3 linked regions of the Danio rerio genome follow. The protein of the gene in region 1 binds, or shares a complex with, the protein of each later gene. Links are inferred from orthologs where the notes say so. Each region holds a gene or a part of one and is shown on either strand. Other genes may lie near its edges.

What was found.
Region 2: fbxl13 (region 1) and drc9 share a complex: the UniProt entries of both Homo sapiens proteins name them as parts of the nexin-dynein regulatory complex. The link is inferred for Danio rerio from reciprocal best matches to the Homo sapiens genes FBXL13 and DRC9.
Region 3: fbxl13 (region 1) and drc8 share a complex: the UniProt entries of both Homo sapiens proteins name them as parts of the nexin-dynein regulatory complex. The link is inferred for Danio rerio from reciprocal best matches to the Homo sapiens genes FBXL13 and DRC8.

What each region holds. Positions count from the first base shown.
Region 1 is NC_133200.1:19,757,467-19,761,119, reverse strand, and holds part of fbxl13 (F-box and leucine-rich repeat protein 13), read left to right. Parts: intron 1-127; coding exon 128-237; intron 238-316; coding exon 317-415; intron 416-497; coding exon 498-593; intron 594-2,072; coding exon 2,073-2,348; intron 2,349-2,443; coding exon 2,444-2,544; intron 2,545-2,625; coding exon of another isoform or gene 2,626-2,628; coding exon 2,629-2,758; intron 2,759-3,035; coding exon 3,036-3,134; intron 3,135-3,653. UniProt on the Homo sapiens protein: Substrate-recognition component of the SCF (SKP1-CUL1-F-box protein)-type E3 ubiquitin ligase complex.
Region 2 is NC_133193.1:29,337,725-29,342,117, reverse strand, and holds the start of drc9 (dynein regulatory complex protein 9), read left to right. Parts: upstream 1-1,529; 5' UTR 1,530-1,669; coding exon 1,670-1,768; intron 1,769-4,393. UniProt on the Homo sapiens protein: Component of the nexin-dynein regulatory complex (N-DRC), a key regulator of ciliary/flagellar motility which maintains the alignment and integrity of the distal axoneme and regulates microtubule sliding in motile axonemes.
Region 3 is NC_133192.1:12,696,705-12,700,973, forward strand, and holds the start of drc8 (dynein regulatory complex protein 8), read left to right. Parts: upstream 1-1,438; 5' UTR 1,439-1,454; coding exon 1,455-1,476; intron 1,477-1,786; coding exon 1,787-1,871; intron 1,872-2,001; coding exon 2,002-2,074; intron 2,075-2,163; coding exon 2,164-2,243; intron 2,244-4,229; coding exon 4,230-4,269. UniProt on the Homo sapiens protein: Component of the nexin-dynein regulatory complex (N-DRC), a key regulator of ciliary/flagellar motility which maintains the alignment and integrity of the distal axoneme and regulates microtubule sliding in motile axonemes.

The sequences.
Region 1 (3,653 bases):
TTGTTTGTTTAAATTCTGCCCATATGCTTTTTTTTTACTAGTTTGCATGTTACCATATAAATTTAGTGTGTTATTATTTCTGTTCTCTCTATATATCATGAAACAAGGCATTCTTTAATTTATCTAGATGCAGAGAGGAAACTACAGAAGGTTCAAGAGTCTGTACACTGCAGAAAAATCATCACGGCTTGGCGTCATGTTGTGCAGGACGCTAAAAGAACAAAGGAATACTTTAAGGTATAATTATTAAAACAATCAGCTAAACCCAAATGCATTGAATTCATGAGATATTCAGCTATTATACATGTCTGTTCAGAAACTAGAAAGAGATATGAAGGAAAGCCAGAACTCAGGCATACCACAGGGTGATGGACAGGACAATCTGTCACTGCTGCCCAACAGGCTGTTTCTCAAGGTATCATTTGACTACCACTAACTGTTAAATAACTGGCAAAAACGTACAATCAGCTGTGATTGAAATGAACCGTTTGGTGCAGATCTTCCAAAGTCTAGGTGTGCGAGACCTGCTGAAATGTGCTCAGGTTTGTCAATCATGGAAAGCAATCACTCAAATCAGCTCACTGTGGACTGAGGTTAGTGCAGCTGACCTAAAAACTGTCAAATTTTCCCTTTAGAATTTAGAAGTGCATGTTTAATATTTGTATACATAAAATCTTTAAGAATATAGTAAAAGTATATAAGAAAATCAACAGATTTGCCCTTTTTTAAACACAATGATGTTATATTAATAATTATATTAAAGCATATTGTGTACTTGCACTTGAAAGTGTTGTTTCATTTGTGACAATGCATGAAAATATAAGATGCTCATTAAATACAAGGCAGATTCAATGAAATGTCAGTTAGTAATGCTTTAACATCACCCTCATTGAACCCTCATGTTCCAAATTTAAATTACCTTCTTATGTGGAATTAAGGTAAAAGCTAACAAGATTTATTTCCCATTGAACTCACAGACAAAAAATATTATATCAATTGGAAATCAAAATGAGGAAATTTTTATGGTAAAACTTAATGTTGTCTTGACAAAGATTTCTAAATTTTTATGTTGTTAGATGTTAGAGAAATTATTAACATGAATTAGTATGTTTGTAACATGATTTAGCATGTTGTTTATTTTATAACAAGCACTATTACTGTATGTTGCTAGCTAGACTTTTGTTTGTGTGCCTCTCACATGAATTAGCATGTTGCTCGCATATTTCAAACAACAATCTACATGTTTCAAACTTAAATATATGTATCTAACATGAACTGGCATATCTTGTTGTTAGCAATTAGCATGCTGTTACCATGTTTATAATTTAAAATACCATCTTTCTAATATGAATAAAAAGTATTAGTATGTTAACTATGCTTTATTAGTGAATTTGCATTTATGCTTCTAACAATAAGCTAGCTGCTAATGTAAATTCCACTATACTGTTAGCACAAATTAATTTCAAGCATAAAGTTGATAGCAAATAACATGTCTCCAGCATAAATTACAGTGTTATCCAGCAAGCATGTTTCTTGCATGGTTAGCACGTTGTATGCTAGTTGATAGGCTTTTCTAGTTTGCAAGTAGCTTAAGATCTGAAAGTTAAAGCCTGGCAATGAAAGTCTTTGGGATTTCTTTATTTTGAGGATCATTTAGAAGTTATATTGCATAAACATGTTGATCAGAATGACTGTCTAATGTGAGTTTGGTAGTTTAAGCTTCAAGTTTTAGGAATACTTTAAGACCAGACTTTTATAAATGTTAACTCAGAAGAAGACGAATCAAAAACTATCCTGTAATCGATTTTTTGACGTGTTTTTATGCAAATGTAAGATGTCAATTTGATGTTGTTTTGACAATAAGGTACTTTACTGTACATGCATTGTAAGGATACAATCTACAATCTACAATATAATCCAGTGTAATCATCAGTGTGTAGATGTCAAATGGACGCATTAGCATTGTTGCTGAGTTTTTTAAAATGTTGTTTATGTCGTTTTGACATAGTGTCGTTTGCTAAGTGTGCTAAAGGCTTCATATACAGTGTAACCTGTGAGATGTATTTCCACAGATTGATTTCTCTCCAGAGAGCAGCTGGATCACAGATCAGATGGTGGAGAGAATCCTGCGGCTTCACCGTGTTTATGTGATCTCTGTAAACCTGTGTGGTTGCAACATGGTGCAAAGACTAAGTTTCAGACGCATCAGTACATTTACCTTCATTTACCAAACAACTGCATTTATTTTCTGCTTTGTTAACCTCATAAAGATACAGAATACTTTTGTTTTTAAAGGTCAATGCAGGAATCTTCAAGAACTGGATCTCAGTGAATGTCCAACTGTTAATGCAAGTATACAGTTCATAGTCTTAGGAGTTTTCTGCTTATTTAATTTTCGGCTCTTCAAAACTGGCGTGTGTTTTGTTTGAAAACACACTGACAGGATGAAAATATGAAGATGATTTTAGAGGGATGTCAGTCTCTCCTCAGTCTTAATCTGGCCTGCACTCACATTGCCAACGCCACAATAAAAGTCCTGGCAAGGTACAAAAGTCTTATGTTTCTCAGATCTTCAGACTGTACTCAACAATGACTGAAGTTTTTTTCTGTACTGAATGTTTTTAGTAGATGCTGTGTGATGCTGCGGTCTCTGAATCTGGCATATTGCATTCATTTCTCTGATAAAGACCTGCAGTATCTGACCACAGGGACGGGTTGTCGCAGACTCCGCCATCTTAACCTCTCCGGTTGCTCCCAGGTTAGTTTTGACTTGCAAACTATTCTACTGTATCATTTAAAAAAAGTATCTTAGGCTTTCTATTAGTTGGTGTTATTGGTTATATGATGCAAATATACAATATATTTAATTTACTACTACATGATTATAAATAAAGGTACCCAAAAGTTAGTTTTTCAAAGTTATGTCATGTCCTCTAAGAAATACTTAGTTAGTCAATCCTATTTTTATTACACATTTAACTACTCTTGACTTTATCCCAGAGTGATCAAATACAGTTTTCATTTTGTACTTTTAGATAACTGTGGATGGATTTACATGTGTTGCAGAGACTTGCAATTCACTTCAACAGATTGTGTTGAATGATCTTCCCACCTTAACTGACATCTGTGTGCAGGTAAGTGTTATTTATTGTGGCCCGAGAGAGCTTAACGTGCTGCAACCTAAGAAGACACATGCGAATAGAAAAAAATAAATAAATAAATACCGGCAAATTAGGAAAACATCTTAGTCGGTTTGACACACATTGCAAAGCCTCACTACAGAAACATAAATTAATATTGTACTGCAAATCCTCACAATGCAAACACAAATAGATAAACACGCTGTAAATTGACAGAACAAAGATCAAGGTCCATAATAAAATTCATAAACATTACAACATTTGTAAAACACCTGTGAATTACAAAATTCGGACACCAGATAAATAACAGATATTTGTTTTGTAGTGTCAGACAAAATTATATAAAAATATTCAACTCAGTGATCTTAAATAAGCTTTTGCCACAAATATTCTAGCGGTACTATTAATTTCACTTTAAAATACCTAAAGTAACACTATTTTATATGTGTATGTAATGTATATGTATATGGAGTTCTTGTAACACAACCATATTATTTGATGTGTTGGTTTTCA
Region 2 (4,393 bases), on another chromosome or scaffold:
ATCTTTTTATTTTTCAAACAGCCAAATTCTGACTGAGGAAAGTTGAATGTGCTGGCCAATTTGTTACATAAGTGACAATAGACAACAGTTTTTGTTTAAAACTTTAACAGATTTTTAAAAAATTATAATGAAATATGATGTAATAAATTTGAATATTAAAAATAAATATTTATTCATATTTCTTTATTCTAAATCTTTAGCAAATATTTTGGTAGCCTACTTTAAAAATTGTAGTTATAATGACCAGCCGACAAGCTAATCCAGCTAAAACGCAGCCTTACACTATCCCTGCTATAAAAAAAAAAACAAAAAAAAACCTAGCATACTGGTAAGGTATGTATTGTTGCTGGTATGCAGGTCTTGCTGATTTTAATGCTGGTCTTGCTGGTTTCAATGCTGGTTTTTACTGGTCTCGATGCTGGTATTGCTGGTTTTAATGCTGGTTTTGCTGGTCTCGATGCTGCTCTTGGTGTTTTTAATGCTGGTTTTTGCTGGTCTCGATCCTGGTCTTGCTGGGTTTAATGCTGGTATTGCTTGTTTCAATGCTAGTTTTGCTGGTCTCGATGCTGGTCTTGCCAGTCTCGATGCTGGTTTTGCTGGTCTCGATGCTGGTCTTGCTGGTTTCAATGCTGGTTTTGCTGGTCTCGCTGGTTTTCATGCTGGTCTTGCTGGTTTTAATGCTGGTCTCGATGCTGGTTTTGCTGGTTTCAATACTGATTTTGCTGGTCTCAATGTTGGTTTCAGCAAGACCAGCATCGAGATCAGCAAAACAAGCATCCATACCAGCAAAACCAGCATTGAAACCTGCAATACTAAATATGTCTTTATAAGCATATGTTACAACTAAAACTCTGTCTGTCACAACTTGCCCCACAGGTGGGGTAAATAGTATTTTTTACTCCTGGCACTTTTGGCAATGCACATACGTCCGGCGATCATACAACCAGTGCTCATTTGTAGGAGAGGCTTGTGTGTTGTTGGTTAAAAATATGGTTTGTCTAACCATATATTTTATATTTGGCCAAAACCAAAAAGTGTTACACGTCCCCCGCTCTCCCCATACCACATGTTTTTGGACTTATGGGGGAACCCGGAGCACCCAAAAAACACACTTACGAAAACACAGGGAGAACATGCAAACTCCACATAGAAACGCCAACTGACCCAGCCGAAGCTCGAACAAACAAACTTCTCGCTGTGAGGCGAACTACCCACTGTGCCACCGTGCAGCCCAAAACTGAGTATTGTAGACAAATCTACTGATTATAAATCTTAAAAGGGTTACCTATAAAAATACCTAGAAGTCCTGAACATTACCAATGAACAGCATGTTTAAGATAAAGAAAAACAAAATAAGTCAAAATGTCAAAATAAGTCAGTTTTGTCAATAAACCACCTTCTAGCAGACAAAAAATGCATGGAAAACTGGTCAAAACATGATGTTCATGAACGTAAATTAATTCAGTCTGTTGTAAGAACAGCCAGCAAACGGAGCGGATCTGTGTGTACAAGACGTGCTGTCATGACGACGGACGCTGTTGCTACAGCTGCACGTGTAGCGTCTTCTTCACGGCTGATTTGCCTCTTTGTTTAGAAGGATTAAAAGAAAGAAACCTTTTAATTTTATTTATATATTTATCTAAATTTCTATATAGCCCAAATCAGCAGTATGACGTCCGTGGAGGAGCTCAGAGCGTGTGCTTTGCTGCAGGATTGCGCTGATCAGCTGTCAGTGTTAGGAAATATTATACGCCCCGGAGCGGAGACTGTGAGTAACAACATCAAATTTAGGACATTTAGTAATCTGCTTCCTGCTACATTTGCTCGGTTATGCCCGATATGCTTGTTAAATTATGTTTTATATTTAGTGTCATGGCCAATAATTATTGGTGAATTAAACAAAGTTAGGATTTGTTGGTTGATAGGCTATTATATGATGTTGTTGCGTTAAACATTATTTTAAACAGTTTCAAGTCATGAAATTATTTTTAGTAGGGTAGAGCGGGGCACAAAGTAACACTTTTTGGTTTTGGTCAAATAATTGGTCAAATTCACAGCTGTCACATCCATAACGACACTTTTTTCTCATAATGCAAAAATGTCAAATAAAATAAAATCAATTCAATAGTTAGCCGACTCATATCCGTTTGATTATCATTGTTTCTTTTGGGTTGTGCAGTTTAATTAACAGAATTTCTACAAAGTCTTATGAAGACTAAACTCCCAAACATACTAAACTCTCATATATATATATATATATATATATATATATATATATATATATATATATATATATATATAGCACATTATGAGGAGGTAGCACTGGTGATCATTTAACCAGTGCTCATTTCTAGGTGAGGCGTGTGTGTTAAAAAAAAATCAAAAAAATTATATGTATATATATATAGTGCTGTAAAAAGCTAATGCGTGTACATGTAATTTGTGCATGTGTTTAAATGTGACATTCTGTAGTGCATAGTTATTGTCCAGTATGCCCACAACGTCATAAAAAAATTATATTATGTTTGATTTAGGTTGTGATGTCAGGTGACCAAAATTCTATGTCTTGCCAGTGTCTAAGGACGTTATTTTGATATCCAATAATGACGTCAAATGACGTTGATATTTTATCGATTGTAGCTTGTTAGAAAGAGACCAAAATCCACAGCTGAGCCAACATCTTAAACCAAAGTCATATTAACGTCAAATACTGACATTTATTCATCAGGTATGGCAACCAAAATCCAACGTCTGTGTCACCGACTCGGTCCCAGTCATTCCCCTCGCTGACCAGCAGAGGTCACCATCTCCGGACTTCTAACCATTACGTCATCCATTCACCCTGATCCCAGCACACCTGTTCTCCATTCCACTAATGACCCACGTACCACATATAAGCAGCTCACACACACACTTCAGTGCGAAGTCTTGTTTAGCCCCGGCCAGCATTTCTGAGCGTTCTATCCTGCCTGATCTCCCGTTTACCACTTCAGCCCGTTTCACGACTCTGCTCTGTCTTCTGCCTGCCCTCGACCAAAGCCTGTTTCCTCGGACTCTGATTCTCGCTGCCTGCCCTCGACCAAAGCCTGTTACATGGACTCTGAATCACGCTGCCTGCCTCTGACCCAAGCCTGGTAATCACTCTGCGTCTGTTATCTGCTAAACCTCCTTTGATGTGTATGTTGTATGTCCGCACAGCCGTGCGAGTTGTTGATGTTTAAGTGTGACTTAATAAATACTGCAAAATGGATCCCTCCATGTCAGTCTCCCCGTTACAGAAGACTTCGCCCAACACGGATCCCGCAGCCATCCAGGTTTTGTCTCACGAAGTCACAGCACAAGCTCAGGTATTGTCTACTTACCAACAACAACTAACACATCTAACTCAGTTAACAGACGAACTGGTGAAATCCCTACAAAACCTGCAAGCTGCTGCCACTGCGCAACCCACCGCCAACTACTCTCCAAGTCCACTTGTTGTTGCACAACCCCCGATGACTTCCGGAGTTCGATTGGCATTCCCTGACAAGTTCTCAGGTAACCCAGCAAAATGTAAAGGCTTCCTACTGCAATGTAAACTGTTTATCGCCCAACAGCCCCATCTGTTTAAGGACGAGAATGGGAAAATTGCTTTTGTGTGCTCACTGCTCACTGTAAAAGCGCTAGACTGGGCTACTGCAGTTTGGCCAGACAGTACCCCGATATTTCCCTCGTTTAATGACTTTCTCAAACGTTTCTGCACTGTGTTTGATCATCCGGAGGGTGGTCGCAACGCTGGCGAGGAGCTACTGTGCATCCAACAGGGAGATCGCTCCGCAGCTGAGTTCGCACTGCAGTTCCGCACCTTGGCAGCGCAAACTGGCTGGGCTGATGATCCGCTTACCACGCTCTACAGAACGGCTTTAAAACCAGAATTGCAGAAAGAGATGGCATGTCGTGACGAGGGAAAAACACTGGATCAACTAATCAAACTTTCTATAAGGTTAGACACTCTCCTCCGCACTCGCAATCCACTGTGCTCAATTGCTTCCAGTCCTGTATCCCCTGAGACCTCCGCTGAACCCATGCAATTGGGTAGAACCCGCCTGAACCCAGAGGAGCGAGAACGACGGAGAAGAAATCACCTGTGCATTTATTGCGGACTTCCAGGTCATACGAAGGTTTTATGTCCCCACAAGCCTCTCCCTAAAACCGTCTCGGTGAGTGCAACCACTATGTTCACTACCACTAATAATGTTATGAATTTGCCTGTCATTCTGAGAAACAATGGAGATGAAATTGAGACTATGGCCATGATCGATTCAGGAGCCGCTGGCAACTTTATTGATTACACGTTTGCCACCACTCACTCCATTCCCTTAACCTCCTGTGATTCCTCCATCGCCATCACTGC
Region 3 (4,269 bases), on another chromosome or scaffold:
AGGGTTATGGTGGGTGGGAGTAGCGAGGCCCACTCATCTTCTATTTTAAACCATAGTTTCAAACTTTAGTTTACTATATAGTTTGAAATAGAAACCATGGTAACTGTTATGATTTAACTTTATGCAAAGAGCTTACAATGACCAAGAGCAACAGACCCGGATTCCGCCATTTTGAAGTGATAGCGATCGCTCGTCATTGCTGTCGCGATGGAAAGCAGCTGCTTTGTTTTTATTTAATTTATTCAAAAAGCGCGTTATTGTTTCCCAAATTGTAGATTGTCGCCTCATGGTAATTCTATGCTCTTCTGTGTCTGACTGTTGTGATGTTTTGCTTTGTTTTTCAGCTGAGATTTTGAGCAAAGAAGGACTATTGAAGACAACAGTTGAAGACAACCGCGGGTTATAATCACGAGCGCGCGCATTATAATGTTTTCGGGCTGTTTTCTGAAAGTGTGTCTTTGTTTAGATAAGTTTGCATGTCAAACTAAATAAACTATACTCTTTCTAAACACCTGTCTCGTTTTATTTGTCCTCTACAGCAATGCACTGTCATATAGGTCTGTTGAATGCATTTGTATGCAACATGGTTTGACAATACAGTAGTCTAACAAATAAATAGTTGTTATAAATGTACCTTCATTAGTCAACATTTGATGTTATGTTATGATTGTTATACTATATTTATTATTATTAATATGCTGTATGTTTAAAACCAGCAAATTATACTATATATTTAACATGTCATAAACTTACTGTTATTTTAACATTTGCCAAATAAAATGTCCTAAGACAAGAATGGGTGTTGTTTTGGTTTTGTGTCAACCTACTGTAGGTTTTAGGTTGACTACAGCAAGGCTACATACATCATAGGGAGTTTTTTTATAACGGAATAAATATTTCACGGAGATGATTTTACTGCGTGAGAAAACTGATGTGTGGCGTGAGAGCGTGAGAATACGGTCAATTGCGTGACTTTCACGCATTTTGGCAACTCTGAAATATTAGTGTTTGGACTATGTGATTATTTATTACTATAGCAGGTACTATTTAGCCTATATATTCTCCTGGATTGTATAAGTGCTTCTGATTTTTATTTAACACTGACATATTTATACACATAGGTAATTTAGACATGTACTCTTTATTGGTGCTTTCAAACGAATAATCGCGTTCATGCTTGTACAAAGGATGTATAAAAATGTTCCTTACATTCTTCCTTTTCTTCTGTTTTTTTAGTCAGTACTGAACTTTCCCCTTTTGTGAGCAAAAACTTTTGCTAGTCTATAAAAGATGTTCGGCATTTCTTATTTTGGTCGATTTAAACAATCATAAACAGCATAAACAGAAACATTTTTTTAAACTTCTGAAAGCGGTTCCTACGTAGAAGAACCACTTCCTGCCCTCCGTCTGAATGGCGAGTGTGTTCAGGTTACCTAGCAACCAGGGTTTTAGACATGGCGGACAAGTATAATGCAGGTAAAGATGCTACACGTAAAATGCTACGCTTTTTTTACGTTTGTGGGCTTACTGTATGCTTATTAATGGTGTTTGTATTCTCAGCATGACGTGTTTTTAAATACAGTTGCCATTACTACGACTGTTACCAGATCAATGATGTTTGAAAAGTTTTCAGTAACGTTGTTTGTTAACGTCGAGTAGTTAAAGTAACAGTAAAAGACCACACAGACAGCGAACATCTACAGCTGAATTGCTTTGTAAACACACACACACAAAATAAAATAAAAATGCGGAAAAACACAACGTTAATTAATGTATTTTTTATCAGAAAATATTATAATAGAAACTCAAAAGAGGATTGGGAATGCCTTTGATGTATTTGACCATGAATCCAACAAGACTGTTGATGTCAGGTAACGTTTCACTACGCTGTTTTTCAAAATATATTAGACCATTTGTTGATGTCTGTTAGCTTTGTTCTGCACATGTTCTACAAACAAGGAAGACTTCTTTAATGTTATCTGTCATTTTTCACCGTAAAAGGGAAATAGGCACCATCATTCGTTCACTTGGCTGTTTTCCTTCAGAAGCTGAATTGCATGATATCATCTCTGAGGTCAGTGGTTTTGTTTTGCCGGGTCATAAAATGCATCGCTCTTGTAAGTTGAGTAGATCAATAGTTATGAAGTGTCATTTCATTCACAGCTAGAAGAAGAAGAACCCACTGGATTTGTGCGCTATGAGAAGTTTCTTCCAACTATGACTAAGATCCTGCTGGAGCGCAAGTAAGACTGTAATGAAATAAAACAGTATGAAACCCAGATTATTCTTAATGTTTTTAAAAGGTCACAGACTGATAAATCACACAAATGCATCTATATATTTATATACAGTCTAACTCAAAATTATTAGCTGTCCTGTAAATAATTTTTTCTTACTCAGTTATTTTTAAATTGATATTCAACAGAGCAAGGATTTTTTTTTTCTTCTAGCAAAAGTCTTATTTGTTTTATTTTGGCTAAAATAATGGTCTTTAATAAAAAAAAAACATTTTAAGGTCAATATTATTAGCCCCCTTTAGCAATATTTATTTTCGATTATCTAGAAAACAAACCATTATTATACAATGACTTGCCTAAATACCCTAACCTGCCTAATTACCTTAATTAATGTAGTTAAGCCTTTAAATGTCACGTTAAGTTGAATACTAGTATGTTGAAAATCATCATCATGGCAAAGATAAAATAAATCAGTTTGATGTGTCAAATGAGTTATTATAACTATTATGTTTAGAAATGTGTTGAAAAAATTCTTTTCGTTACAGAAATTGGGGAAAACATTTACAACGGGGCTAATAGTTCAGGAGGGCTAATTATTCTGATTTCAACTGTACATGGATATATAGTGCTAGAAGATGAAGCCAAAATGTCCAAGGTATCAACTTGCACGGATCGTATAATTCCCACAGTTCCTACACACCCAATTGCAAGCACATAATGGCATGCATCCAAATAAAAGCAAACTTATTAAAAAATGTTCCGTATATACATCAACAATTGATGTAACGAGAAAACAAGGCGACACAGTGGCGCAGTGGGTAGCACTGTCAGCAAGAAGGTCATTGTTTAAAGCTCTGGCTGGGTCAGTTGGCATTTTTGTGTGGAGTTTGCATGTTTTCCCTGTATTGGCGTGGGTTTCCTCCTAGTGCTCCGGTTTCCCGCACAGTCCGAAGACATGTGGTATAGGTGAATTGAATGAACTAAATTGGCCGTAGTGTATGTGTGTGAATGAGTGTGTGTGGATGTTTCTCAGCACTGGGTTGCAGCTGGAAGGGCATCCGCTGCATTAAACACATCCTGGATAAGTTGGCGGTTCATTCTGCTGTGGCGATAAAAAATAAAGGGACTTAGCCGAAAAGAATGAATAAATAAGAAAACATTAATTAAACGCTTACCTTCTCTTCGATAACATTGAGGGAGCAGGGCTTTTTAAAATGTTCTGCAATCAATGACCAGAGAGCAATGGAAATATTTGGATTTCCCTTTTTCTATATTTGGCCTGTGTGAGCCAAAATCTCACTAATAAAATGTGTTGTCGTGTCTAAAGCAGACAAATGTTTTGCCTCTACATGTAGATGTGCTGGGGGTGGATTTAAACAATATGCAAGTTAATCGGCCGCTCAGGGCCCCAGTTAATCTGAGGGCTCCCAAATAAATACCTAGAATTATAAATTATACATATAAATATTATATATAACATTGCTTTCTATCATATTTTCCCCTACCTTCAATCATGGACCAGTTCAGCTGTCAAATCAGTAAAGATTTAGTTTTAAAAAACGAAATTGTTTATTTATAGTGAATTTATCTTAAGAAAACAAATGATTTAAAAAGTTTTATAAGGTGCTTTACATGTTATTATTATTTTGCATTAAGATAAAATGTAGAAAAGGAGATTGATTGATATAAGAAATAACAGCAAAATAATAATAAAAAAATTAAAGTACAAAAGGTGCCTTTTAGAACTTTTGGGTCTAATGGCTGGAACAGCTTAGGGCCCCAAAATCACTAAATCCATCCCTGAGACGTACAGTATATGACTATAAGTGTTTTAACATAATTTGCAGTACCTGTAAAAACTTAAAACTAAAATAAAATAAACATTTGATTAAATAAATATTTACTTTGCTAAAGTTTTTCCCACAATAAAATTTAATACAAAGCCTAGTATTAGTGATAATTGTAGCTCTGCTTCTTTCTTTTTTCTTGCAGGTTTCGTCCTATTACAGAAGACCTGCTCATACAGGCTTTT